Linked DNA regions of Cricetulus griseus. The protein of the gene in region 5 purifies or fractionates together with the protein of the main gene of each other region. This does not show direct contact. Links are inferred from orthologs where the notes say so. Each region holds a gene or a part of one and is shown on either strand. Other genes may lie near its edges. The genes, in order: Akt1, Ikbkg, Mcmbp, protein argonaute-1, Fkbp5, Cdk4 and Ikbkb.

Region 1 (3,500 bases), on a different chromosome or scaffold from region 5:
ACTGGGCTGTCACAATGTGACACAGAGAACAAGGACATAGATTCTCAAGCTCCACGCTCTCAAAGATAGTTTCACAATATCCTCAACTTTATAACCCTCACCAATCCTGGCACTCCAGCTAAGGCGATCACAAGACCCAGGGCAAAGGACTACCAATGGTCTTCCCAGGAAACAATACAGAAATGGTTCCCAGGATGTCTTAGGCTCCTAGAACTGGGAACCTTCTTCTCAGTCTACCCAAGAGTTCCCAGTGAATGTCCTTGAGTGCCTGTTTAGTCCCCATTAAAGGGACCCTGGTCAACCCACCCTCTAAACCAGGTCCAGTCACCACATGCTGGAACCTTCAGCCTTACAGCAAGGGCTCCCTGGCCCAGCCAGAGCTGGCCACTGGCCAGCTCTAGAGGAGGTGACTCAAAGCTAGCACTGCCCAGCACCCCAGGACAAAACCTGCTGGCCTGCCTAGCCATCTCACTCAACCCAAATGGCCGAGACACTTACGTGCCACTGAGAAGTTGTTGAGGGGGGACTCTCGATGCTCCACGTCCTGAGGCCGTTCCTTGTAGCCAATAAAGGTGCCGTCATTCTTGAGGAGGAAGTAGCGTGGCCGCCAGGTTTTAATGTATTCCCCTGCGGGGGGGGGGGGGCATAAGGAGCTGCATGTGAACAACACTGCAGTGGCCCTGACACCTGAGAGGACCTAGGCACATAGAGGTAGGGAAGGGATCTGGGCCACTTCCTTCCCAGAAGGCACTGGCACTGGGGCAGAGCTCCAGTGCATGTTGCTGGGAGCATCTTCCAGGGCTCTGCCTGTGCAGCAGAGTCAAGAGGTGCCATGGCTGGAACGAGTGTGCGCGTGTGTGTGTGTGCGCGCGTGCGCACGTGTGTGTCCTAGCTGAGACCTGTGCTGTGTCCAGCTGAGTCCTGCCCTGGTCACCCAGGTACACAGGAACATTGTTCCCTCCTCCAGTTTTGCAGCATCAGCCAGAAGCAGGCACCACACTCAGACATCAGAGCAGATGTCCTCTGTGATCTCCCAGCGACTGTCATTTTTCATACTGACACCCGGAAAAAATGTTTCATTTACATTTTGCCGAGCAAGGAGTCTGAACAACAGGGAGCTAACTAATTAGGCAACTTCTTCATCTGAGGGGACACTAGACTGAGGACAGGAGGGGCAGCCCACAGGGCTGGGGTCCCTGAGCTCTATCTGAGATGAACTTTGCTTGTCCCACTGAGTCCTGAGCAAGAGCACCTAGAGGGGTATGCAGGGAGCAACTGTTTGGACCAGGCCACCTGCCACCAGGTGCTCCAGGATGCAGACCAAGTCACAAGGACAAACACCCTGGTCTCAGGCACCAGGCAGTGCACCTAACGCATTTTCCACAGCCCCAGGGAGGCTAGCTAGCTTTCCTTCTCTACCCTCTCATGGTATGTACTAAATCCAGGTGTTCTCTGAGAACACGTGCAGGTGAGATACAGTCTACCCAGTATAGTTCACCAGCTCAGACTCTCAGGGCCTTCCAGGGTACACGAAGTAGGGGCTCTGGGCAGTATATTGCCAGACTCCTCACATGACCTACCTCCCCCGACTCCACCGTCTAGTCCCTTTCAATTGACACCCTGGAGGCATTTCCGACACCAGCCTTGCTCTGCATGACCCTACACAGCCCTGCATGAATCAGGATAAGAGAAAGCCTAAGTGACGGACAAAGGCTCTTGGTGAGAGAAGAAGTGATAGAGCCACTACCAGGCCAACACCCCACACACACTCCAGGGAGCTGGTAGCTATTAGAGCTAGGGATCCTGTCCCCTCGTCACTGCAGATCTCCTAAGCCTGCCATCAGCACTGACAAAGACCCCAGCCTCACAATGGAGAGGGGCAGCAAAGAGAGCAAGCTCGAGCTCCTCCCGACTCCATTGCATGTGCCCAAATGTGCCTGGTGGTCCTCCAGGGCCTAGGCTAGATTATTCTGCTTCTCTCCAAAGGCCTACAGTCCGTAAGTAGCTGGAACTAGGACACCTGGAAACCCATTCCTGCCTCCCATCTTTAGTTCCCAGAAGCTCAGCTCCCCAGCCGGCCACTTCCCACAGCCACTGGGGGCTTCAAAGCAATGACCAATGCCAACCCTCCCTCACTCAGGAGGGCCTAAGGCTCAGCAACCTGCCTACACAACAAAAACACAGAACAGGGTTCCCATCCAGGTTTTCGAAGACCCCTGAACCCCTGCAGGCACCAGCCTGGCTTCTGACCAGGTGGCACACACCTGCAGTATTCACATGGCCAGTGGCCCCATGACAGCCCCTCCCCTGGCATAGGGCCTCGAAGGCTCAGTGGGCAGGCAGGGGCCCTGGGTAATATAGCAGAGCCAATGGGGGGTGAGCAGCCCCCCCACCCCGTTCCTCCCTAGGCCCCCGCTGTGCACGCCCACCCGCCAGCACCAGTCTGGAGCTGTCGGCCCCTGATGGAGTGCCTCCATCTCACCAGCTGCTGCTCCCCGGGACACTAACTGAGTACGGAGGCTGATGAGCAACACACTCGCACCCCAGAAATCCATCTTGATTTACCAACTGCTGCCCACCCCACTGTGCCCAGTGCAGGCCCCCAGACAAGACCACCACCCTATCTACAACTGGCTCTTAGCCTGCATGACCAGCCCCTAGGCCAGGCAGATTCCAGAATGTGGACCTGGAGGTACAGGCAGGGACACTCACCAGGCAGAGAAAGCCAAGTACCCAGAAGGGCCTAGGTGCCCTTCCCCTCCCTGGCCTCACAGAGGCCTCCTGGCCAAGGAGAAATGTAAAGTGAAGTGACCTCATCAGGTCTTTCCCGGTGGCGGCCTCTTCCAGAGGAAAGGGAGCCACAGTTCTGACACACAGATCTCTTTCTTCATCTCCGGCCTCAAGGTCTAGCCAAATGGTCACTGGGGGTACCAGCTAAGCCAGCTGCAGCCTAGGATGTGGCCTGCATGTTAATGAGTTCAGTCCAGACAGACCCCAAGCCCCACCCCTCCAAAAGAACTGTGCCAACACATGACAGACAAATACAAGAGGTGGCTACACTGGTCCTTCATGGCCACGTGGTATCTAGGAATACCCCTGCCCCCTTCTGGGGCCTCCCTCCAGCTTTTCACACTCCAACAAGGAGGGACTGATACTGAGCCCCTGCAGAAGTGCTAGGCTCTGGCCCATCCAGGCTCTTCTCTACTCCCTCACCCCATCTGGATGCCTGGTACCCTGAAAACAGGTAAGGCGGAGTCCAGCTGGTGAAGCGCAGCAGCAGCTGGGGCCTTCCACCTGTCCACACAGCCTCTGGGAACACAAGTACTCACGGCCCACTAGAGGTGCTGTGCTCCACCTGGAGTTTCCTCACCAGGCCCGTGTTCACACAGACATGAACAGATGACAAATAACCAGGTGCCACCTCCACAGTGTGGTCCCCATGGTTCTTGAGGCCAGATGCCTGACAACAGCTTCTCGTTGAACAACAAAACCAGCCAACA
Region 2 (4,030 bases), on a different chromosome or scaffold from region 5:
AAATAAAAAGAGGTCTTGTCAAAATTAATTTCCCAGAACTAGAAGTATATCTCAGCAATGGAGTACTTGCCAAACATTCACCAGACTCTGGATCCCCAGCAGTACCCAAAAAAGTGAGTCTCCCAAATCCACTTCTATCCACAACTTCCCTTACTATCAGTTGAAAACAAATCCATCCCCCAACTATCAGGACAAAAAATTTGAGCATTTCTGAGTTTTTGCTTGCTTGTTCGATTAGTTTTTCTGTTCCTTTATCTTCCCCCCTGCCCATCTTTTTAATTCATGAAGACACACTATAACATTAGGTATTTTAAGTGTGATCATGGTGTTGTAGTTATGTTTATTGAGAGTACTTTCTGAAAGAGATACATAATGAAACACTCACATGTCTGAAATTCACTGCATAACAAAAGAGATACCTATGGATAAACCCAATAGAAATGAAAACACATGTCCATATATAAATGATCACAGCAGCATTATTCAAAGCAGCCAGAGTGGAAACAATCCAAATGTCCACCAACTGATGAATAAGCAAAATCTGTTACAAAAACAAGAACACATGCTCCAAATAATTGCTAAGAGAAAGAAATGTCACTAAAAGCTATATACTGTATATACTTACAAGCATAAGAAATATCCAAAACATGTAAATCCTGACAGAAAGTAGTTTAGTGGTTACTTAGAGAAATGAGGTGGATTGGAGTTTCTTATTTAGGATTTCTTTTAGGGATGATGACAATGTTCCGCAATTAGTGATGTTTTCACACTCCTATGAACCCACTAAAAACCACTGAATTATACACCTTAAATACGTGAATTGTAGCCAGATGTGGTGGTGTACTTCTGTAAATCCTAGTACTTAGGAAGTAAAAGCAGGAGGATGAGAAACTCAAAAAGAAGGGATCTTCATGAGACTCTCTCCAAAAATTTTGAATTATGGGCAAGTGACACATCTCAGTGGATAACTATTGGTATGCAAGCCTGGAAACCTGAGAACACATTCTGGCCATGACACTCCACACACATCATGCATACACACACACAAATAGTAAATATTTTTAGTTTTTAAATGTGAATGGTGCAGCATGCAAATTATGTCTCAAGAAAGCTGTTTTTGAAAATTATAATGGGTGGAGCAAAAAAGATGATTACTCAGTGGTTAAGAGCACTTGCTGTTGTTGCAGAGACAGTTCCCAGCACCCACATGGTGGCTCACAAACATCTGCAACTCCAATCCAAGGGGACCTCACACCTTCTCCTGAATTCCTTTAGCAACAGGCAAGCATGTAGTACACATACATACTCACAGCCAAAACACCCACACACATAAAATAACATCTTTTCTAAAGAGGAAAAAAAATCATGGTAGAGTACTGTAAGGGCTGTGAATTAAAGTTAGCTATGAGTTGATAGAGACAACTAAGAAATGTGTACATGGAACTTACTATGTTAATATTTCTACTTTTGTACATTTTTAAAGTTTTCAGTAATAAAAGGCTGACAGCACTATCATCCTTCACATGGATTACTGCAATAATCTCTTTACAGATCACCATGCTTTCTTCCCTTGCCTTTTACAATCAATTGACCCCACTGGGACCAGTTACATCAAAGATAACTTTGACTGTTTCTCCCTTTTATCGTGAACCCTTCAAAAACAAAGGCAAAGTCGGTACACTTGAAAAAGCTGAGGCAGGAGAATCTTGTGCTCGTGGTCTGCCTGGCCTACATTTCGAGATGCTGTTTCAGAAAACAAAGTTTCATCAACAGAAAAATGTCTGTGAACTAAGAGTTCTAGCACTTGGGGCCAAGCCCTTAGGCGACAGATAAGCAGAGGGAAGGACAGAAATCAGTCCAAGTAAGCTGGGTCGCGAATCTGCACTTCTTGAATAAATGCTCTAAAAAGCATTCGAAAGCATGCAACAGAACAAACTGGGCCCAAGGTGGGGGGAAGGGGGCTCAGGAGCCTCGGAAGCTGCATAATGGCCACCGATGGAGCCCTATCTTTGGAGAAGAGGACTACACCTGTCAGCAGAGTCGGCCAGAAGTGAAGAGGGCCTGAGCAGCGGAACCCGACCTCTCAGATTGAATCGGAGCTCTCAGAAAGTCCTGGTTGGGCGGTCACCCTTCCCTTCTCGGCTGTGGAAACCCCTGCTTCCGGCTTCCGGTGTCGTAAGTGTGGGATCCGGAAGTAAAACACAGACTCGAAGTCGAGGAGATTAACTGGAGCTGCGAAGCCACAATAGTGCTGCATCCCACTCTGAAGAGAAGCCTCAGACCGCCAGCCTGCATTGGCTAACCGAAGAGCGCAACGCTCTTCACTGATAAAGATCACACACACACTCACACACACACACACTTACACACTTTTTTTTTTTTGATACAGGGTCTCTCTCCTAGCTATCCAGATCTACCTGCCTCTGCTTCCCGGGTGCTTGGAATTAAAGGCGTGTGTCACCTCGCCCACAGTTGTCCCCACCCCATTTTCAAGGCGTCGCATTCGCAATGAAACACCCCAGTTTTAGTCTGGTTCTGTCACTGGGCTCTCTGCCACCAGGTCCCTACCATGGAAAAAGCCTAGAAGAAGCTGCTAAAGGACGCCAAACCGATTGCAAGGGGAGGCGTGGCTATGCTGCTAACGGAAGTGGGGTCATCCAGGAGTGCGCAGGGACTCGAGGGTCCATCGGAAAACAGACCATAAAGTATGGCTGGGGTAGCGATGGGGACGCAGGAGAACTGTGCGGAGCTGTATCTGTGCCAGCAAAGCATCACGATCGCGGAGCAGGAAAGCAGGGACGGCCAACAGGGTGGGGCTGACAAGGGATGCGTGCGCACCTACTTCTGCTACTCTCCCCTCCCTCACCGATGGAGTAGTCCGAAGCTCCTCCTCTCCTGCCTCTCCTGAGGCGGGTCAGCTCAGTCAAAGCACCCGCCCTCCTGCGTTAAACGAGCCAGCTAAGCGCAGCCCCCGGAAACGAGCTGTGCACTCCAGAACTGTAAACCTGTTTGGCAGCAGCAACTAAACACAGGTAAAGGGGGTGGTCTGATAGCACACCGGTGGAGGGATGTGCTTCCCGCTTATGAGCCGCGTGTCCCTTTGATGAGCGCTATTTGTTATGCTTGGATATGGAAAAAGATCTACGAGGTCTTAACCCATCCCATTGTACCCCGCACTTCCCCGCATTAGGCCCATGAGGACTAGACTTTTAGAAGAGAAGGGTCTTTCTGGGATCATTTAGCTTGGCCAGCAGAGAGCTGGGGCTGAACTCCATCATCTGCACAATGAAAAGATGCTCAGTTCATTGTGGCGTTTCTGGCAGAGACTGGAGTGCGATGGCCCCAGACACAGTGCGATGCTCTGACCGCGTCGCTTTCCCAGAGTGGATTCCCTAGCTGAATTCCATTAATGCTTATAGAGATTTCGTAATGTACAGCCCCCAGAGAAGACAACATAGGATATGGCTGGAGCCCAGAAGCAGCAGTTTCTGATTCTGATAAGGTTAAGTTGTCAATGCTCTTCTGTTCTCCTGCCTTATCAATGAGTCTTTCTTCCACCAGAAAACACCATGGCAGAGCAGGTGGCCCTGAGCCGGACCCAGGTGTGTGGCATCCTGAGGGAAGAGTTGTACCAGGGTGATGCCTTCCACCAAGCTGATACACATATATTTATCATCATGGGTGCATCGGTGAGTCTCCCCTCAGGCCCTGAGTGTAAAAAAATCAAATGTAGCATTTTGCAAGGCACTTCTCTCTCTTTACCTGAACTTTCCCAACTGACTGCTAAGGGGCCACACAGGTTCTAATTTGAACTCACGGCATATGTTCCCACCTGTGTGTCCTGATCATCACAGCAGTCAGTACCTGCTGTACATCATGTACTTCTGTCAAATTTCTCATTTGCAAGGCTTTTCAGAAATCTATGTTCAGCCATTAAATGTGGGCCAGACTTGGAGCATGCAAGTTCTAAAGCACCATCTACTTGAACTTCTTCCTCCTGGATGGAAAAAAAAAAACTGAGGTGCAACCA
Region 3 (3,500 bases), on a different chromosome or scaffold from region 5:
GTATAAATGATCCCCAATTTACTGGGAGTTTCCAGGGTTTTGACACAGCCATTGTTTTCTGCTGTATTGGACCCAGGCAGGCCTGTAATTTGTGATCCTTCTCTCTCAGCTTTCAGGTGTGCACAATAGCACGGCATCACACTGTGGAAGATGCTGGCTTCTGTGCTTGCTTGGCATTCTCAAGGGGGACACAGCTGCATGTAGAATGTTTTCCATGTTGCATTTTGTAATGGAGATTAAATATTTGGTTCTTTCTCTTTTTACCCTCCTTGGCTTATTTGTCCGTCTATTTTTATTTCAGTCAAGGACCATGTTTCTTTTTCTTTACAACAATAAAGAAATAGTTTGAAATGCACTTAAAGAGGTTTGAAGCAATACTTTTACAAATATATTACTCTTTTGATAAAGGCGGTTGAAGATGATTTTGTGGAAATGCGTAAAAATGATCCTCAGAGTATCACAGCTGATGACCTCCACCAGTTGCTTGTGGTGGCTCGGTAAGTGTGCTCATCTGTATTCCCCTTTTTTGTTGGCCGTATGCAATTCTGATTTATTCAACAGTTAACCGAGGCAGACTTTTTTGTTTGTTTTATATTTCGAGACAGGATTTCTCTGTAGCTTTGGAGCCTATCCTGGAACTCTGTAGACCAGGCTGACTTCAAACTCAGATCCTCCTGCCTCTGCTTCTGCTTCTGCCTCCCGAGTGCAGGGATTAAAGTTGTGTGCTACTACTGAGGCTAAGGCAGACTTCTAAAAACAAAGGAACTTTTCCTTCAAAGACACCTTCTAGAGTTGAGCAGATGGGTAAAGCTTTTGCCTAAGGACTGAAGTTCAGATACACCTGAAATCTGGGTGTACATGGCCACAAGGAGTCTCAGAGCAAATTGACTAGCTTAGTAATACTAGCCAGCCTTTGGGTTCAATTGAGATACCCTGCCTCAACAACTAAGGCAGGGAGTGATTGAGGAAGATCCTTGATGTCAGACCTGGGCTTCCCACAAACACGGACAGACATGGAAAAAGTTAAATAAAAAGAAAACTCATTAGGTGGAGCTTGGAGAATCCTGTGGAAGAGGGGGAAGGATTGTAGGAGCCAGAGGGCTGGCTCAAGGACATCACCAGACAACCCACAGAACCAGCTAGCCTGGGTTCATAGGAGTTCACAGAGACTGAACTGATAACAAGGGAGCCTGCATGAGATTGACCTAGGCCTTCTGCTCATATGTTACAGTTGTGTAGCTTGGTCTTCTTGTGGGACCCCTAATAGTGGGAGCAGGGGCTGTCTGATTGATTCTTTTGCCAGCTTCCGGGACCCTTTTCCTCATACTGGGTCGCCTTGCCCAGCCTTAACACGAAGGGAGGTGCTTAGTCTTATGTAACTTGATATGCCATGTTGGGTTGATATCATGGGAGGCCTATTCTTTTCTGAATAGAAACCGAGGAGGAGTGGGGGGTTGGATTGGTGCAGAGGGCCAGGTGGTGGTGGAGAGGAAGGGGAGAAAATTGTGGTCGGGATGCTAAAAAAGTATGATATTAAAAATCACTAAAAAAAAGAATGCCTACCTAATGAAAGTGCTTATTGAGGGTTCATATTTGCCAGTGATCTCAGCAGGAGAACAGTCTTGTTCTCTAAGCTTTTAAGAGTTGAGCACCCTCTAATTCTGGCTCTCCAGGGATTCCTTTGCTCATGTGTAGCTTCTGATGGGCTTTCAAAGATTTCCTAGTTGTTAAAACTTTAAGGTAATCTTCCTAACTCTAGGTAATTTTTAAATTTCAAACCAGGTTTCTGTCCCTGAGTGCTGGTCAGACAACACTATCAAGAGAACGATGGCTAAGAGCAAAGCAGCTGGAGTCTTCCAGAAAAAACAGGCTTCAGCAGCACAAATGTGTGAATGGGAATGAACTTTAGAGTTCTGAACTTAAGAAGAGAATGGGCAAGCTATAGCCTCCATGCTGTACAATTCAGATTCGTTTATAACATATTGTTTTATAGATAATTTGTATCTAAAAACAATGACTTTTCCTGAAATCAAGCCTGGTGACACCTAAAGTTTATATGATTCTCTGTAAGGGCTTTTACCTTACTGGTTTTATGGAGTTTTGGAGTTTGTTTTATAATTAGTTATGATGTACAAAAATGTCTTTGATATTAAAGGTTTAATTATGATAATGTTGCTGATCATACCATCTCCTTAGCTATAGCTCCATCTTAGGCCAGACTCTTGAAGTACCAGCTTCGCCTGAAGACAGTTACTGGAAGAACTGTGCCCTCACATTTCTCTCTCTGTGTTAATGCAGAATGGCTCTGGTCTAAGTGTATCTAGTCGGAATGTACTTGCCATTGATTCTTGTGAACTCTTGTAGTGTCATTTCTACATACCTGGCCATAGAAACCTTTTCCCACTTACAGTTGTTAAATACCCTGCAGAACTAGGCTTTCCCATGGCAGGGGTTCCCAGCTTTTAATTTAATGGACTAGTAATACTTCCAGAGATCTCTGGGGTAGAGTGGCCAGTTAATTTGCCAAGTCATTTGGGGAAAAAAAAAAAATCACTGTGATCACCATTTTGTTTTCATAAAAGGACACTCAGATAAGAGACTTCTTTCCTTGGAATAAATGCAGCTTTGTGAAGGTCACCACATTGTCCTTAGCTTTTCTCATACCCTGCATTTGGGAACTGTCATTTTAAGGGACTCTGAAGGGAATGCTACCCCATGGAACCTTACCCAAACATGGAAAATGAAAATACAAAAAAACCTATTTAAATTGTAAACTTTGATTGGGGGGGGGGTTAGAATCCTTCCTTCCTTCTGCTATGTATTGAACTCTGGCCCCTCACACATGCTGGAGAAGTGCTCTACAACTAAGCTACATTCTTAGCCTGTGGGGGTGGGTACTTTTAATAATTTTTCTCATTATTTAGCCAATTTGATGACTGTACTGGATTTTGAGCTTTTAATGTAAGTTTGTCAGATGGTTTCCACGTGTGTTAGATGAGTAACGTCATTTGCTAGTATAGTAAAGGCCATATAGTCACAGGTAGGTTTTCCTCAGACCTATTCATTTTGATATGCATATCTTCCTTCCTTCCTTTTTTCTTTCTTTTTTTCCCGAGACAGGGTTTCTCTGTGTAGCTTTGGAGCCTATCCTGGCACTCACCCTGGAGACCAGACTGGCCTCGAACTCACAGAGATCCATCTGCCTTTGCCTACAGAGTGCTGGGATTAAAGGCGTGCGCCACCAACACCCACCCAGCTTGATATGCATGTTTTCAAATAAACAAATGTTACTACTTGTCATTTGCAAATTAATATAGCATAACCTTCAGAAAGGTTAGAACATTGCTTTTAAGCTATGATGTACATGAAGATGAATTAATTTGGATACAAATGAATTAAATGGTCCCTTAATTTTCTCCTACTAAAGAGGCTTATGTTGACATTGTTAACCAAGGAAACAGGGTCAGCCCAATGAAAGGAACTACAAACTACCATTTCAG
Region 4 (4,068 bases), on a different chromosome or scaffold from region 5:
TTAAATAGGGCAACCGAGACAGGAACTGACATTTTTGGCATGAAGATACATTCCTTGAAACAGGACATGTACATATGTTTTATGGGGGAAAAGAAAGGGTCAGGTTTGGACTTAAATTTGAAGAGTTAGATCCAGCTGGAGCTGTCCAGCAGATAGTAGGAAATTTGAAGCCGCTACGTGGTTAGATAGAGATACTTGGGCTTTTGGAGTGGATGAAGCCATGAAGAGAAGGAAGAGTAGAATATAAAACTCAGGTTGGAACTACAGTGAACAAAACAACAGTTTTAAAGAAAGCTGAACAGGACAGGCATTAGGAGACTTAAGAAAATGGAAGAGGCCAAGTAAATTCTTAAAAAAAAAATGCTTAGTGTCAGATGTTGAAAAGCAATAATGGAAAATTAGCCTTTGGGTTTTGACACAAACGTCATTGAAGTGATTTGGTAAGAGCAAAATTCTGCAGATGAGAAAGTGGAGCCAGGTGCTTCCGCGTCCTGCAGATAGAGAGCTCTGTTTCTACACTTGAGTTGAAACTGTGACATCTTCCAAAGTAGGCAGGGTCTCTTAACACATCTGTGGTCTCAGCGCCCGCCCAGGCAGGCGGCCTGGAAGAGGGTGGCGTCAGTGAGATCAGCGACTAGGGACGCAGAAAAACTGACTTCGCAGAGGCAGCCAAGACTTAAAGGATGAGGGTGATTGGGAGAGGTGGGAGGCTGGGTCCCGGGGTGAAGGGATGTTGGAGGGGAAGAGGGCCGGGAAATGAGCTGGGAACCAGGCTCTGTGCCGAGGGCAGGGACTGCGGGCAGGTTCCCAGCGACCTGAGTAGGGAAAAGACAGGGCCCCAGGCTGCAGCCGGGGAAGGGGTGTCGCCCAGCCCCGCCCCACTTACGCCACTGCGCGGTTCCGCCACCGGAGCCCTCCCGTCAGGCTGCACGGCCACGGGTGGCCGCCAGGGGCCGCTGCCTGGGCCTCTCGCCCCCGCCCCTCTCCATTGGCCTTTGTTGCCGTCGAGCGCCCCGCTTGACTCGTTCCCGTCCGCCCCCTGGGCCCATCGGTCGCGCCTGCGCACTGGCAGTGCTCGCAGGGGGAGCTGCTGCAGGCTCCGCGGCGGCGGCAACGGAGGCTGCGGGGGCGACGGTGCGAGCGGCCGGGCTTCGGGGGGGAGCCGAGCCCGGCCCGGGAGCCCGAGCAGTGCAAGTGCGAGGCGCCTAGGCCCCTCACGCTGGACTCCTCAGTCTCCCGGCCGCCTGTTCACCGCACGGGTATATGGGATGGAAGCGGGACCCTCGGGAGCAGGTAAGGGCCCTCGGGAGCCGGGAGCGGTGTGTGTTCCAGAGCCCGGAGGGCTCCCGCGGGAAGAGCATGGCTCCAGAGGGCGGGGAGGGGCTCTCAGGAGATGGGGGGCCCGTTTTGAAGGGGCTGTGTGCAGTTCCGGCGGAGAGCCATGTGAAGATCTGAGACCCAGGCTGTTTGTCCTGGGAAGCAGTATGCAGTCCTGTGGGTGGGAAGCAATCTAAGAGAAGGGCCTGAATGCACCGGAGTCCTTCCGTGAGGTTATTAGGGAGGCCTGTGGGGAGGCCCGGCAGGTGGCAGGGGGGCGGGCTCCAGGTGTCCAGGAGAGGAGGGGGGCGACACAGATGGGCCTGTAACTACCGCCTGCCAGGGGCGGGGGCTCGGCCCTGCTGGGCTGGGCTAAGCTAATGTCTCCAGGGAGAAGGCGCCGGAGCTGGGCTCTGTGCTCCGCCCTAACTGGGCCTGAAGCGGGGGTGAGGGTCAGGGGGCGGTGGGTGGGGATCCAGTCCTGGGATTTCCCCCTTAGGCTGGGGACTTGAGTGGTGGCCCGCGAGCATGCGCGGAGGTACCAGCCTAAAGGGCTGCCCTATGTGGTGGGGGCGTGGCTGTTTGAATACCCCTACCCCTCCTCTGCCCTGTTTGGCTTGGGAAAAGGAGCGCACTGATGTGTGCATTCTCTCTTAGATTGTGTTGGCAGAATACAAATGGAAATTGCTTCATCTCTGTCTTGGGGTCTCTGACACTTGGTCCTTAAGCCCCGCAGTTAGCAGTTTGCCAAAGAATGGGTTGAGGTAAACTGCCAGAGTGCCTTTTTCTGCCACATGAGGAAAGACTGGGACCGAAGCCATGCTCTGGGAGCTGGTTCTCTCTGAAGACAGGCCTTAGAAAAGTGTTGGTCATTGAGAGACCAGGCCCATATGCTTTGCAGGTTTCTAGACCGCTACTGAGGAGAGATGGGAGCTTTTAATCCAAGGATAACGTCCTTTTCCTTGAACTGGCTATTTATGTTACAGTGTAATCTCTATATATTTGTGAGTCCTGTTTCCCAGTGGATCTTTTCCCATGTCAGGGGCATGTCGTTAGACTCAAGGTTGCCAAGCTAGTCTGTCTGACAGAAACAAGTTGTTGGAGGTGTGGACGTGATTATTGATCGCGATTGTAGCTCTAACTTATGTTTTCTTGTTTATAAGCAGGAGAAAAGTAGATAAGAGGTGAAACTGAGGCAGGGCTGCCCAGAAAAGACTGGAGGCTATAGACTTAGGATACTTTTTGTGTTCTAGGTCTCTTACCCTCTAGTAGAAAGTACGGTCTGGACCCAGAATCCTTTGGGTTAGCTCTCACCACCTCCTTCCATTTGGTGTAGGGATGGCAACACGATATCTGTTTAGATTACTTTTAAAGATTTTGGGAAACATCTGTTTTTCAGGCCAATAATAGTATCGATCTTAAAACTCTCCCCCAAGTCTGATTCAATGATCTGTGATGTGTTCCTCCAAACACAAATAGCCTTGTAAGGTAGAGTGTAAATTCTAGTTTTCTAGGTTGGGGACTGCTAACAACAACCTGTGGACTAGAGAGTAGGGTGGTGAGGTCACCCACATCTAGACATACTGAAGGCTTGTTTTCCTAGATTACTAATGATTTTATCTTGATGGATTCGTAGTGGGTTCTGGAGTGATGAAGACATGGATTTGTTTGTTACAAGAAAGAAGCTTCTAGGTGAAGGTCTGGAGCATGGGAGTCAGCTGTGTCACTGGAAAAATGTTAGTGGCATGGGGTTTGCCTAATCAAAAGATGTAATCCAAATTCAGGCTGAGAACTCTGATGGAGACCCCATAATTACTTCCTTCTGGGACTGGGCAGTAATACTATTTATTCTTGTAAGATGTTGAAGAATTTTTTCTGAGAAGGCTCATGTGCAGATGTGCCTTCAGTGTGTAGGTGTGTTGGGGCATGTGGACTGGCCTGGAAGCAAGCGCATTGAGGGTGGAGGTACTTCCCGACTTATCTGTGGCAGCGGCACATGGAGGCCCTGACACAGAGTGCATGTTTATTAATTGGCTCAGATCACATTCAAGTGTGAACATATGGTTAAACTCATGTGCATATTCTGTAATTGTGTCTATGTGTGTGGGTGTTTAATGTTTGTGAACAAATATTTCTGGAGAGATTGGTCTCTTAGTCTTTTCTGACTCACCATCTAACTTACCAAGGGTACTTGCCCTTCAAGTAGGCAGTCAGGTTCTTTAGGGAGATGTGTGAGCCTTGGAGTTGTTGGAGAGGAATCCTGACGGTGGACCTTGAGCTCTGTTACTTTTCCTTCTCAGTGCTGGTAGGGGATGGGGGAGGGGGAGTGTCATTTTCAGGGCCCCTCCCTTCTTGCTTTTGTCTGCAGGGAAGGGCCCCGCCCCTTTCCCCCTAGGCTGGAGCTTTGTCCTCTGTGCTGGGGCCCTCATCTGCATCACAAAGTGGCCGTCTGTCCCTGTCTGGGTCTGAGGGGAAGTGTCTTCCTTTCTCAGACTAAAAGCTGGGGGCAGGGCGAGGTTGGGGAGTGGAGACTGTACAGCTGTGGACAGAGCTTTCCAGGGGCTAGAATGGCAGAGAGGTAGTTCTTCCCTCCTGCCTGCTTCCCTAGTTTGGGGATGGCATGGAGATATGTCCCCCATTTTCTTTGACTCCTGGGGAGGAGAGTGTCCTAAGTTCCATTTCTGGGGAAAAGAAAGCTCTGAGGGGAGTGTATGTCCTACCTCTATCATTTTTGCTCAGCCCCTAGTTCTA
Region 5 (3,500 bases):
AGCTGGGTTAAGACTTACAGATCTGGGTCATGTGTCCCTGAATGGTTACACTTTACAGAACTTATCCTTAAGGGCTCAACTGTGAAAGCATATCTGAGACAGCCGCCACCTGAGTGTGGAGCTCCTGTAATTTTGGAATGTTAGATTAGAAGTGATTAGTAAACTTTAATCCCAGCACATGGGAGCCAGAGGCAGGCAGAGTTTGAGGTCAGCCTGGTCTACACAGTTGAGTTTTGGGGCAACCAGAGCTACAAAGTGAGAAGATATCTCAAAAAAAAAAAAAAAAAAAAAGATTGGAGACTGTAGGCTATGAAGTACCTGCTCTGCAAGTCTGCAAAGAGAAAAAAAGTTTTCAGTCAAAAAGTAGGGTAGAGTGAACTACAGCCCATTGCAAACTGAAACCCTGAAGCAGGACTGCAGCACTGAACAGGGTTGAGAGAAAGGCAGCAGACAAAGGGGCCTCGTAATGGCTTTAGGATCAGGACAGAGCATTCTAGAAGAACTTTCAAGGAAGTGTGGGCATGGCTAAAACTACTGAGGAACAGGATTATAGACAAGCACTGGCGTTTTGTCAGGGACCCCTGAGGGGTGAGGGCAGGCCGAAGAGTCTCAGAACTCAGATCTGCCAGTTGCAATCTGTGAGCCCGTGAGGCCACTCTGGCCAAGGAGATGCTCTTGCATGCAGGCATCCCTGGATTCTCTCAGGGCCCATTTCTCAAGATAGAAGAGTTGAATTTATGGTACAATTTTAGACCAAAAATAATACAAAACATGTTTTCACAAGAGACTGTCAGTGCCGGATAGTTCTAAGCTTGGAAGTGCTAATGGCTATCCTTATGACGGGAAAGATTTAGGCAAAAATGAGTCATCTCCGCTGTCTTTAGATCCAGGAAGAACAAGCTGGTTTTTTCTTCCTTCGGGGACTCCATATAAGAATGTGGCATGCATTCAAGGGGTAGTAAATCATGCCCTACTTCAGCTCTCAGCACTCTCCTGCTGAACTCAGAGGACAGAAAAGAGGACCAGCCAATCTTTGCTGATGTGGCACCATGGCATAGGAACAAATCAAAAACAAGGCTTATTTGCCCTATTCTTAAACATACTTGAGCTGAGCCAACCGCTCACAAACTTCCCGACTACCACCTGACTCAATGCAATGACCTCACTGTGATAGCAAAAGCACCGAGTGAGAGAGTAGGTCTTCAGACAGCTACACTGCATACGGAAACGGGCGCTTCTTACCGTGGTCCAAGATATAAAACACACTGCTCTTCCCTCTGCATTTTCTCCAGGGCTTTGTCAATTCCAATGGGAATGTCGTGGTCTTCTCCTTCACCAACAATGAACACCACATCTCTGCAATCAAACATCCTTCCACCACAGCAGCCTTCCAGGTGGACTGAGGGTGAGGAGACAGAACAGTCACAAGCCACCCCTCAGCACTGCCTGTCAAGTGAGCGGCCAACAGTGCAGCTCTGTCCACAAGACACACACAGTGTCTTCTAGAAGCTTTGCCCACCCAGTGTGAAAGTTTAAGAACAAGAATATTTTTCTGTTTTAGGTTAAATGAATACTAGTTTTCTTACCTGTGACACAAGGTCAGGATATACTGGCTTATTTAAACACACAATAAGGAGAATGCCACGCATCTAGTCCTGACAATATACAACGATGGCTTAACCATTTGTAACAGTATCTTGGGTTCAGATGCTTGGGTGAAATAAATAAACCAATAATAATGCCAAGCCTGGAATGTCATTTCTCCAATGATACATTCATGTTAGATTTTCTTTTCTTTCTTTCTTTCTTTCTTTCTTTTTTTTTTTTTTTTTGAGGCAGTCTTTTTATATATCTCAGGCTGGCCTGGAACTCTTATTTTCCTGCCTCTGCATTCCAAGTGCTTTCTTATTATATTATTACAGGCCGGCACCACATCTTGTTCCAATTACTTTGTATGGCGGTGAGGACTGACCCCAGGGACTTGTGCAACAACCAACCACAGAGCTACACCCCAGCCCAACTACCTTTAATGCCCATGTTCCATATGCCTTTCTCGAAGGTCTTTTACTCACTAAGAAAAATGGCTTGTGAGCCAGTGCAACAGTCACCACGATTCCTCTTTGATAATCTGGAAAGTTCTTAGGCTGCTTAACTGATGTGGGGTAAGTAACTACGTAACTTGCTTTACAGAGTCTTGAGAATCCACCCTCTCTTACACATTAACTATGTGTCCTATGACAGCTGTCAAATTCCAAACACAGACCCAATTCCAACTCCCTCCACCACCCTTATCTGATCTCAGCAGTCTCCTAAAAGGCCTGAAGGTCTATGATTCTGTTTCAGCTAGAAGCCACCTTTAATGCTAATTCCTGTGGTTAACCATTTGATCCAGCACCTTTAGCCTAGGCCTGATAAGTCAGAGGGACTCTGACTATCAACAGCAGGGCCTCAGTCAGCAGAGTCAGGACAACCTCCAGGACGAACACCACGCTGGTTGCTCCCTCGGCTGTCAACCCAAATCCTGAGTCAGTTCCTTCAAAGCAAGGGCTGCAGCCTGGATCTCAGGGTGTGCATAGAGCCTCTTGTTTTATTTCCCACACTTGTTAATATCTATGATGACCACTTCTGGAATGTTCTAAATAAAATAATAGCTAACTTGCAGATACCTCCCCCACCCCACCCCCAGTGCACAGGTAGCGTGAAAAAACCAGGTTGAGTGTAGTGTGAGAGGCATCCAGCTGGACAGCTGTGAGCACTGCCAGCAGCCGCTTCCATTTTTTTAAAAAAAGACTTAACTTTATTTTAAAAATTTAAAATACATGTACACCAGAGGTTTGGGAGCACAACTGAGGCCCATGGTTTTGTTTTTTTTTTGTTTTGTTTGTTTTTCTAGAGTAAAGGTGATGTTTCTAAAGGAACTGGGTTTTTAGGAAGTTGGGTATCTATTCTAAGCCTAGCTACTCAAAAGGCTGAGGCCGGAGAAGCATACACTGTGGCCTATCTCACAAGAAACAGTGAAGAGAGGGATAGGGGTAGCTCACAGTGGCAGAGTACTTGCCCAGTAGGTACAAAGCCTGAGGTTCAAGCCCCAGAACCTCCAAAAATAAACAGAATTTAGACCAACTTCTCACTAGAGATCTGCTGAGCACAGGAGTTCTTGCCCATGCACAAGGTAAGCACATCTTTAGACTGACAGATTTGGCGGGGGAGGGAATTCTGAAGTTTATTGTTAGGTGATCACCTTCCTCCTCAAGTGCGGTGTCTTTAGCTCGGAGGAAGCTATCAGTACATTTGTTGTGGCTTTTGGTCGATCAAGTCTGAATGTGTTTTCAAAACAGGAAGTCCAGAGACTTCTGCAAAGGGTCCCCACTTACTATCGGTTCCCTAGACTGATTCGCAATCATGTAATGTGTTTGAAATGACTACACAGTTTCAGAAATTCTCTTTAAGTGTGCAGGAAACAAGCAAAAAAACCAGAAAGTCAAACTGTATCAAAGGCA
Region 6 (4,056 bases), about 100 Mb from region 5:
CTGACACATAGCTTTTACTCGAGTTCTGGGGATTCAAACTCAGGTCCTTACACTTATGCCCTAAAAGCTTTATCACAGAGCCACCTCCCTGGCCCATGCCCACTACCAGCAGCAGCTGTGCTCCAGATTCCTCCATCTCCGGTACCACCGACTGCACAGGCCGCGGCCCTCTGGGGGAAAAGGCTCCTCGGGGAAGAGATACCTCTCGAGGCCAGTCATCTTCTGGGGGCAATCCAATGAGACTGTAGGGATAACACAAATCTGGTCAGGGGGGCTTTTTCCAGTTTCCATCTCCAGGGCCAACTGCCATTTGGAATTGAGCAGAAACTGAATTAAGAATGGGGAATTTTAGCCGGGCGGTGGTGACTCATGCCTTTAATCCCAGCACTTGGGAGGCAGAGGCAGGCGGATCTCTGTGAGTTTGAGATCTTGTAGACCAGCCTGGTCTACAAGAGCTAGTTCCAGGACAGCCTCCAAAGCCACAGAGAAACCCTGCCTCGAAAAAAACAAACAAAAAGGGGGGGGGGGATTTCTTTCCCCTTTATTGGACACTTACTCAAAGATTTTGCCCAACTGGTCAGCTTCAGAGTTTCCACAGAAGAGAGGCCTAAGGTAGAAAAATATTCCAAGTATATATTATTTCAGAAATAAGGGAATGATAATCAAAGTGGCTGAGATTAGAGAGGACGGAGAATAAGGGAACACAAAGTTCCTAATTCCTAGACATTTCAGGAAATTTGCCTGCATCGTTTCTGGTTTTAGGCAAGTTGGTGAACATAAACAGGATAGGTTGGGACTATAGCTGGGTGGCAGGGCACGCGCCTGATAAATACAAGAGCCTAGGTTGGGGCGTCCAGTGCCATATGCACAAAAATGGTCAAGAACGGGTATGTCTTGTAAAAAGACCCAGGGGCGGGGAGTGTAGTTTAGTGGTATAGAGCATTTGCCCAGTGTATGTGCAGTTCTGATTTCAACCTCTAACACCATAAGTAACATCAAAAGATTTGTGTAACTGAAGGGACCTAAGAGTTCCACACCCTGAGCCAGGTGGTGGCGGCAGGCGGATCTCCGAGGGAGTCACAGGACAGCCAGGGCTACCCTGTCTTAAAAAACAAAAGTTTCAAGCCCCGTACTTTCGACGAAACATCTCTGCAAAGATACAGCCAACGCTCCACATGTCCACGGGTGTTGCGTATGTAGACTGCAGAAGAACTTCAGGAGCACGGTACCAGAGTGTAACAACCTAAACAGAAGAGGAGAAACGAGTGAGAGTCCTTTTCATGGCTCATAGCTGCTGGGCTTTGAGAACGTCAAGCACAACACACCTCAGCTGCTACGGGAAATCAAGTACTACCTAAAGCCGAATCCCATTGGGGCTGCCATCTTTCCACTCACCACAGGTGTGAGGGCCATCTGGTAGCTGTAGATTCTGGCCAGGCCAAAGTCAGCCAGCTTGACTGTCCCATTACTAGTCACCAGAATGTTCTCCGGTTTCAGGTCTCGGTGAACAATGCAATTTGCATGAAGAAAATCCAGGCCGCTTAGAAACTGTCGCATCAGGTCCTGGTTTTGAAGGAGAAAGCCCCGGACACCATGTAACACGCTCAAAAACCCCAAGAGTCCCTACTACAAAGACCCGGATCCACCTCTCACCGAGCAGCCCGCTCACCTTGATGGTCTCAACTGGCAAGCCTGGTGGGGGTGCTTTATCCAGGTATGTCCTCAGATCCTGATCTATATGCTCAAACACGAGAGTGACCTTGATGTCTCGATCAGTTCGGGAGGTAGCACAGACATCCATTAGCCTGACAAAAATAAACAGTCGCCAGCCGGTCAATGTCCTTTGTTCCAACGTGGCCTCTGGAGTCCTAGGGTCCCACTCCCGACGACCACACCCCTGGCTTACAGATCCCATTCTTTCCTCCCCACTCCCAATCCAACCTCCTCACCGTACAACATTGGGGTGCTCGAAGGCCTCCAACCGCCTCAGTAAGGCCACCTCGCGTACAGTGCTGATGGGAAGGCCCCCTCCAGCTCCCCCTCCGTTGGGAACTCGCACACTCTTGAGGGCCACAAAGTGGCCACTGTGGGGATCTCGGGCCTTGTATACCGTCCCATAGGCACCAACACCGATTTCAGCCACCGGTTCATAGCGGGAGGTAGCCATTCTCGGAGCAGGGAGATCTCCTACAATCACAGAGGCTTCTAAAACCAAGCCCTCCTTTCCTTCACAGCTAGGAGGGGGGATGACCCAGCAGTAACAAAGGAATTCCTGCCCACGACCGCACCGACACAGCCGCCCATCCCCTCCCTCCACGCTGCCAGAGTGCCGCGCCTCAGGTAACACAAAAGACTCTCCCACCGAGCCCTCCAGCCACGTGATGTCCCGGAGGGGCGAAAAAGAATGCATTCCTCCCGGGGAGGAGGAGGGGGGAGAACGGGACATCGCACCGGGCACAAAGAAGACCATCACAATGCACGGCGTTGGCATCGAAGGTTGCACACTTTATTCCCTAAAATCACACGCTGGCCGCGACCACAAAGGCCCCGCTTCCCGCCCTTGGGCCATCCTTCCACAACGAGGGGATCCATAGGGTGGTGGCGGGGCGCCGGGCCCCATCCCTGCAAGCGGCTGCACTCACCTCTCGCCCGGCCAAGAGCTGCGGAGGTGGCCCTTTATCTGGGCCCGGGAGCCGGTTCCTGCGGCGCCATACACCGGGGATCGGTCCCGGGCAGCTGGACGCTACGGGCCAGACCATAGACACGGGCCGCGAGCTAGAGAGGCCCCCCTCACCCCCACCCTCCCCATGTGACCAGCAGCCAGGGAGGCGCGCGGAAACCGGGGGGGGGGGGCGAACGCCGGACGTTCGCGGCGGACACGTGGTCTCCATCCATCCATCCATCCATCCATGCATGCGCAGTGGATGACCTGGGATGGGGGGGGCGAAACTCGCTCGGGCACGTGACCTGTTGCTATCCCACGTGACCCCTCAGCTCTGCGCTGGGAAGCAGAGGCGTGGCTACGCCGCCTACCACGTGACCCGCCGCCAGTCCCTGACTGCCGAGGGGGTGTGTGGGGGCGAGGGAGGGTGGAGCACCAGGCGGTGCCATGGCAACCGGGCCAGCCGGCTCTCAACTCTGGGCTCAAGGCCGAGCCTGTGCGCATCTCTCCGTCTCACTCCTTGTCTGGACGTGGGCGGGGAGGTCCGGGTGCTAGTGGGAGATCCTGGTACCAGAGATGGGACTGTCACATTTTTCACTCCAGCGCCATGGGGAAGGAGCATTCGTATACTGTGCCTTCGTTTTACTCATTCATTCAACAAAAATTTTACTAAGGGCTCCTTTCCAGTTGGTATGTGATGTTTTTGTTTTGGTGTCTCAGCCATTCGCCCTCTGAAGTAATGATGAGGGTATCTAATGTAGGCAAGTGTGGCCCCTTATGAAACAGGGAGTACGATTCCTATCCAAGAAGGAAACTAGGGCTAAAAGATGGACAGCAGGATTAATATACTCAGTCACTGTATGGGAAGAGTGGCAACGTAATGCCCTCCCCTCTTCCAACTTGCAAACCTCCCTGGGAATATTAAAAGCAGCAAGGAGTTATTGGAAACTCTGTTGTTTTGTTTTTTTTCGAGACAGGGTTTCTCTCTGTAGACCAGGCTGACCTCGAACTTACACAGATCTGCCTGCCTCTGTCTCCCAAGTGCTGGGATTCTGAGATTAAAGGCGTGCACCACTACGGCCCAACAGGGTGCCTGATCTTAAAAGGCTCTTAACACTAAGATTCTGTATTGTGTTACATATGTATGTAATTGTGCATATGAACAGACAAAACGGTGAGCGTGTACAAGGGCGGTCACCAACACCACTTCAGACCACCATGTTGCCCGAGAACGTCTTGTGTCCCTCTGCAAACATGCAACTCATCATTGGTGTCACATTCCTTTTTATTTCTAATGCAGCTTTCTTAGAGCTACTCTTGCCCTTATGGGCATTTCCCAAGTGGTCTGTGCCCACAGAAATCTAGGTAGACAGGTAGATTTGGCATTCGTTGTG
Region 7 (4,276 bases), on a different chromosome or scaffold from region 5:
ACTGGCAAGCCCACACTGTGTGGGGGAATCAAGAGCCAAGAGAACTGGAGCAGGGTCACTGCTACACTGCTCTTTTTCACTGAGGAATACAGATTTAGGTATCCCTTCATTTCTCCTTAGTGCCTCAAAATGGCTTGGGTAGACTATAAAGAAACAAACAGGACCTCCAAAATAACTGGGAATGTGTTAGGCATGTCCTAAACTCTAGTTCCAACCTGGAGAAGCCACCGTGGCATATATCATCTGGATCCAAATAGATGTACATGTTGACAGTATATCCTCTTTCTGAACATTAACTAACTCCCCAGTGCTTCTGTTTCTTGGGCTACAAAATGGAAATTAGAGTTGTCGACCCCAGAAGTGAATTATGTAAGATAAGGGTGGTTCACAGCTCAGGGCAATGCCAAACAAAAGCTGCACAGGAGACACCTAGCCTGATGCTGGCATGCAACAGGCTTACAGCAATGACCCTGGTTCTTAGGCAGCACTTCTCCTGTGATAGCTACATCCATTCTCTTGCTTATAGACAGGAGAAAGCACAGGAAATAGCAAGAACATGTGAAGCCAAGCATACTACCACATCTAGCTGCATTTTTCAAGAGGCTTGGGACAGAGGTACATCCACTAGAAAGCACACTGTACCTTTTGATCTCAGATATGGATTAAAGATTGTTTCTGCACATCCAAAGCAGCCCCCTGGCTTTCCCGGAGGATTAGCCCATGAAGATGGTGGAGGAATTCAGACTAAGCAAACGGGTTCTTCAGTCAGCACCACTTCAATCGAACTCCATCCCAACTCTGACCCCAATACCCTCCTATCCTATCCAAGTCCTGCTCATTTTACCCCTAAACAGCTCTTAAATCTGCCCACTTCTTCCTATCGCCACCATCAGTCAGGCTAGTCTCTCACCTAGACTACTCAAGACTTTAATTACAGCTATTTAGGAAGGACTGATTCCCTAGAAGGGTAGTTTCTAATTTTGGTTGTTTCTCAAGTGATGCCCAATACTAGAATCCAAAATAAAATAAAATAAAATAAAATAAAATAAAAGCACCTCCCAGGTCTATCAGAAGGTCCTGTAACTGGCCAGGTAGAAATGAAGATACAAATGAAAGAGACAATTTCAAATGTTGCACCCCAAAGATGGGGATTCCCCAGGAATTTCATGTTGGGAAAGGAGAAACCACCATCCAGAAGGGGAATTTGTCTTCTGAAGAAAGATTTGTTGACAAATTCTCAGAAAATCTTACAGGGTGACAAAAAAACGGGTCAGTGGTAAGCTGGACCACTGGACTGCTGTGATGCACATATCCATGGCCTTCTATTTAAACCTTAATCTCATTTAGGATCCTGAAGATGGACTTGGGAGGTTTGCTGGGTCTCTGTTCCTCCTCTCAATGTGACTACACTGACCCAATCTTCTGCTCTCCGATATTACATTAACTCTTAATGGGCTTATTGAGGATGGGTAGCAGTACCTGGCTTAGGGCACAGGCTGTGACCCCCAAGTTAGTCAGTTAGTTGCACATCGTATCTGGTACTCAGCAACCCTGAGGAAAGTGATCTACAGCAGAAGGATGGATGGAGCTACAGGAATATTACAGGTGCCACGAACTTTTTAGGCATTACCATAAACTCATTATCCAAATTGCATAAAATAACTCTCACACAGTAAACGGGTGACTTAAAGGGAGTCCCTCAAAGAATTCAGTGTTCTTAAACCACCAGCCCAAACCAAAACCTCTGGAAGAACAAAAACTTGTAACACAAGAAACTCGACTCAGACACATAAAGACCAAAATAATGAGAATATGATCAGCTCAAAAGAGAAATCAAGCCACTCACCATCCTACCCTCTGCACTTTTTCACCCATTATCCTTAACTCCTTGTCTTTTGTGCAGTTCGGTATTACAAAAGACTCCGGGTTTATCAACTATTTAAAAATATTTTAAAATTTAAAAGTTATTTAAAATATCTTTATTGCTCTCATCTTTTTAACACGGTCTGTATTCTGTGACATTCACCGGTATGCAATGCATTACATGCTAGTTTAATATTAGTCTAACACTTAGAATGACAGCTTTTTTTCCACCTTATTTAAGTGGCAGGGTTAACAAGGTTTTTAAGAGTCAGTTTAGCAGCTCTCACACCCCCCTCCCTTGCAGTCCCCCTTTCTTACTCTCCTTTTAGATCATGCTAAGACTAGGCGGGAGTTCACCGATTTGCACCGGCCTTGGCATTAGCAGCACCAAGAAAGTCCACCTGCTCTCCCCGGGGCCAGAGCCCTACCTGATTGTGCCATCGGATGACGTTTCCAAATCCCCCAGTCCCAAGTCGTTCTTTCATTTCCCAAACCCCACATGTCTGGGTTGGGAGGGACGGTGACCAGCTCATATCGATGCCCGGCTAACTCTGGAAGCAAGAGGAAGAGAAGACAAGTTCAGAGTAACGAAACAATGGAGCTCGAGAAGCAGGGGGAGGCAGTAGCGACTGCTGCCCTTCAAGGTAAGGAAGGGGAGCAGACTCAGAGGGTTTAGTTAATAAATAAAAGTTGCCGCGGCCCGGCCCGTTGGCGGTCCTGGTCCTCACTGCTAGCAGCCACCACCGCAGACCCCGGGAAGAGGCGGGGCACGCGTCCACGCGGGCCTTCCACGCGCAGCGAACGGCCCTCGCGTGGGACTCACCTGCCCCAGGGGCCGCGGGGCCGCCAGCGATACCCACAGAGGGCATGAAAACTTAGGGTCCCCACGCAGCCAGCCCAGAGCCACTTCCTCAAACACTTCCTGCCCTGACGTCACGGGAATTTGGCGGCTCTTAAAGGAGACGTGCGAGCCGCTCGCTGAGATGCAGCCACAGCCCGCAGGCGGGTTCTGGACTTGGCGGCGTAGAGACTGCTTTACCCTAGGCTTTTCGAGTTGAGTTTCATCGAACAAGCTAGGCAGTTAACGAGGGTCGGGAGAATCTGCTAAGTGGCTACTAGGACTGTAATACGAATTGCCTTCCTGTGCTCCCACTGCCATTCATCGAATCTGAATGCTCCTGGTTCAGTGCTAAGAATGAAAAACAGACACTGACACTCCTCAGAAAGTAACACACTCCCATCCCCCACCCCACCCCCCCAAAAGAGGAGGAAGAGTACAAAAACAAAGCAAAACAAAAACAAAAAACTGTGTCTACCTAAGCTGGAGTTGCAGTATTAGGTCAAGAACCAGGACACTCTCTCCTACCTGCCTCTCCCCTACCCCCAACAGGTCACATTCAGCCACTCACCCTCCATGGCCTAATTCACGACACAACTAACACTGAAAAGCCGAAAAAGAGAGAGAAAAGACAGAAAGAGGCCCAATCACTCCCACCCATGCCTCTGCGAACCCAGGTCCAATACTGGGGTCCTAACATAAGGTTTGGGTTTAAATGGAAGGCTAGAGGCATACATAACTAAGCAGCCCTGCTCAAGGTGTGTTCTGGTCCACCATCATTGTCTAGACTTCAATCTCTCCTGTATGGTTACATTTGTCAGAACTGCTTGAAAAGTTTTTGCCGAGACAAGCTTCTCTTATGTCTGGCATGAGGCTTTTGACTTACTGGCCCTTTATACCAGCATGGGCAGCCACCAGCAAGATTAACTCTCAGTGGATTGATGGATATGCCAAAGGTCTTCGTTGGATATCCAGGGGACTCTAAGCATTTGAACTCAAGAGTAGTGCAAATAAAGAACTTCTCACTCCTTTATTATTAAAGCAAGCAAAACAGTGAGCTCAGGCAAATACAAGGGCAGAGAGATCCACAATCAAGCACAAGGCTGAGCTTCCAAATCCAAAGACAGGGAGAAGGGAATGCATGAGCAAGGGAGGTCAAGATCATGACGGAGAAATCTAGAGACAGCTGAACCAAGTTTGTGGAAACTAATGAGCTCTAGGCAGAGAGCTGTGGAGACTCCATGGATCCAAACTAGGCCCCCTGTTTGTGGGAGACAATTGTGAAGCTTGGACTAGCTGGGAGGTCCCTGGCAGTAGGACCACAATACAAACCTGGTATATGAACTGGCTTGTTGGAGTCCATTCCCTATGGTGGGATGCCATGCTCAGCTTTAATGCTTAGTCTTGCCCCAACTTAATGTGCCAGACTTTGTTGACTCCTTATGAGAGCCCTTACTAGGGAGGAGGAGTGTGGGGGGGGACTAGAGGGGAGGTGAGGGAGAGTAGGAGGGAGAACTGAGGTGGAAACATAAAATGGAACTTAAAAAAAATTATAAAAAAAGAAAAAAAAACAAA

The links.
Region 1: the proteins of Fkbp5 (region 5) and Akt1 purify together in Homo sapiens (affinity purification with western blotting; 3 studies listed by BioGRID, with this or other methods). This does not show direct contact. The link is inferred for Cricetulus griseus from reciprocal best matches to the Homo sapiens genes FKBP5 and AKT1.
Region 2: the proteins of Fkbp5 (region 5) and Ikbkg purify together in Homo sapiens (affinity purification with mass spectrometry; 3 studies listed by BioGRID and IntAct, with this or other methods). This does not show direct contact. The link is inferred for Cricetulus griseus from reciprocal best matches to the Homo sapiens genes FKBP5 and IKBKG.
Region 3: the proteins of Fkbp5 (region 5) and Mcmbp purify together in Homo sapiens (affinity purification with mass spectrometry; 3 studies listed by BioGRID and IntAct, with this or other methods). This does not show direct contact. The link is inferred for Cricetulus griseus from reciprocal best matches to the Homo sapiens genes FKBP5 and MCMBP.
Region 4: the proteins of Fkbp5 (region 5) and protein argonaute-1 purify together in Homo sapiens (affinity purification with mass spectrometry; 6 studies listed by BioGRID and IntAct, with this or other methods). This does not show direct contact. The link is inferred for Cricetulus griseus from reciprocal best matches to the Homo sapiens genes FKBP5 and AGO1.
Region 6: the proteins of Fkbp5 (region 5) and Cdk4 purify together in Homo sapiens (affinity purification with mass spectrometry; 3 studies listed by BioGRID and IntAct, counting the BioPlex papers as one, with this or other methods). This does not show direct contact. The link is inferred for Cricetulus griseus from reciprocal best matches to the Homo sapiens genes FKBP5 and CDK4.
Region 7: the proteins of Fkbp5 (region 5) and Ikbkb purify together in Homo sapiens (affinity purification with mass spectrometry; 3 studies listed by BioGRID and IntAct, with this or other methods). This does not show direct contact. The link is inferred for Cricetulus griseus from reciprocal best matches to the Homo sapiens genes FKBP5 and IKBKB.

Annotation. Positions count from the first base shown.
Region 1 is NC_048598.1:181,392,298-181,395,797, reverse strand, and holds part of Akt1 (RAC-alpha serine/threonine-protein kinase), read right to left. Parts: intron 628-3,500; coding exon 499-627; intron 1-498. UniProt on the Homo sapiens protein: AKT1 is one of 3 closely related serine/threonine-protein kinases (AKT1, AKT2 and AKT3) called the AKT kinase, and which regulate many processes including metabolism, proliferation, cell survival, growth and angiogenesis.
Region 2 is NC_048604.1:1,290,595-1,294,624, forward strand, and holds the start of Ikbkg (NF-kappa-B essential modulator), read right to left. Parts: upstream 2,801-4,030; 5' UTR 2,703-2,800; coding exon 2,700-2,702; intron 2,183-2,699; exon of another isoform or gene 2,029-2,182; intron 1-2,028. Other genes in the region: G6pd (glucose-6-phosphate 1-dehydrogenase), read left to right, coding at 3,570-3,689. UniProt on the Homo sapiens protein: Regulatory subunit of the IKK core complex which phosphorylates inhibitors of NF-kappa-B thus leading to the dissociation of the inhibitor/NF-kappa-B complex and ultimately the degradation of the inhibitor.
Region 3 is NC_048596.1:72,054,593-72,058,092, forward strand, and holds part of Mcmbp (mini-chromosome maintenance complex-binding protein), read left to right. Parts: intron 1-408; coding exon 409-497; intron 498-1,782; coding exon 1,783-1,909; 3' UTR 1,910-3,500. UniProt on the Homo sapiens protein: Associated component of the MCM complex that acts as a regulator of DNA replication.
Region 4 is NC_048595.1:26,573,538-26,577,605, forward strand, and holds the start of protein argonaute-1, read left to right. Parts: upstream 1-1,268; coding exon 1,269-1,293; intron 1,294-4,068.
Region 5 is NW_023276806.1:233,539,780-233,543,279, forward strand, and holds part of Fkbp5 (peptidyl-prolyl cis-trans isomerase FKBP5), read right to left. Parts: intron 1,400-3,500; coding exon 1,243-1,399; intron 1-1,242. UniProt on the Homo sapiens protein: Immunophilin protein with PPIase and co-chaperone activities. Component of unligated steroid receptors heterocomplexes through interaction with heat-shock protein 90 (HSP90).
Region 6 is NW_023276806.1:130,641,208-130,645,263, forward strand, and holds the start of Cdk4 (cyclin-dependent kinase 4), read right to left. Parts: upstream 2,801-4,056; 5' UTR 2,643-2,800; intron 2,188-2,642; 5' UTR 2,168-2,187; coding exon 1,950-2,167; intron 1,806-1,949; coding exon 1,670-1,805; intron 1,564-1,669; coding exon 1,396-1,563; intron 1,244-1,395; coding exon 1,134-1,243; intron 608-1,133; coding exon 557-607; intron 243-556; coding exon 107-242; intron 1-106.
Region 7 is NW_023276807.1:60,985,494-60,989,769, reverse strand, and holds the start of Ikbkb (inhibitor of nuclear factor kappa-B kinase subunit beta), read right to left. Parts: upstream 2,801-4,276; 5' UTR 2,687-2,800; intron 2,415-2,686; 5' UTR 2,397-2,414; coding exon 2,292-2,396; intron 1-2,291.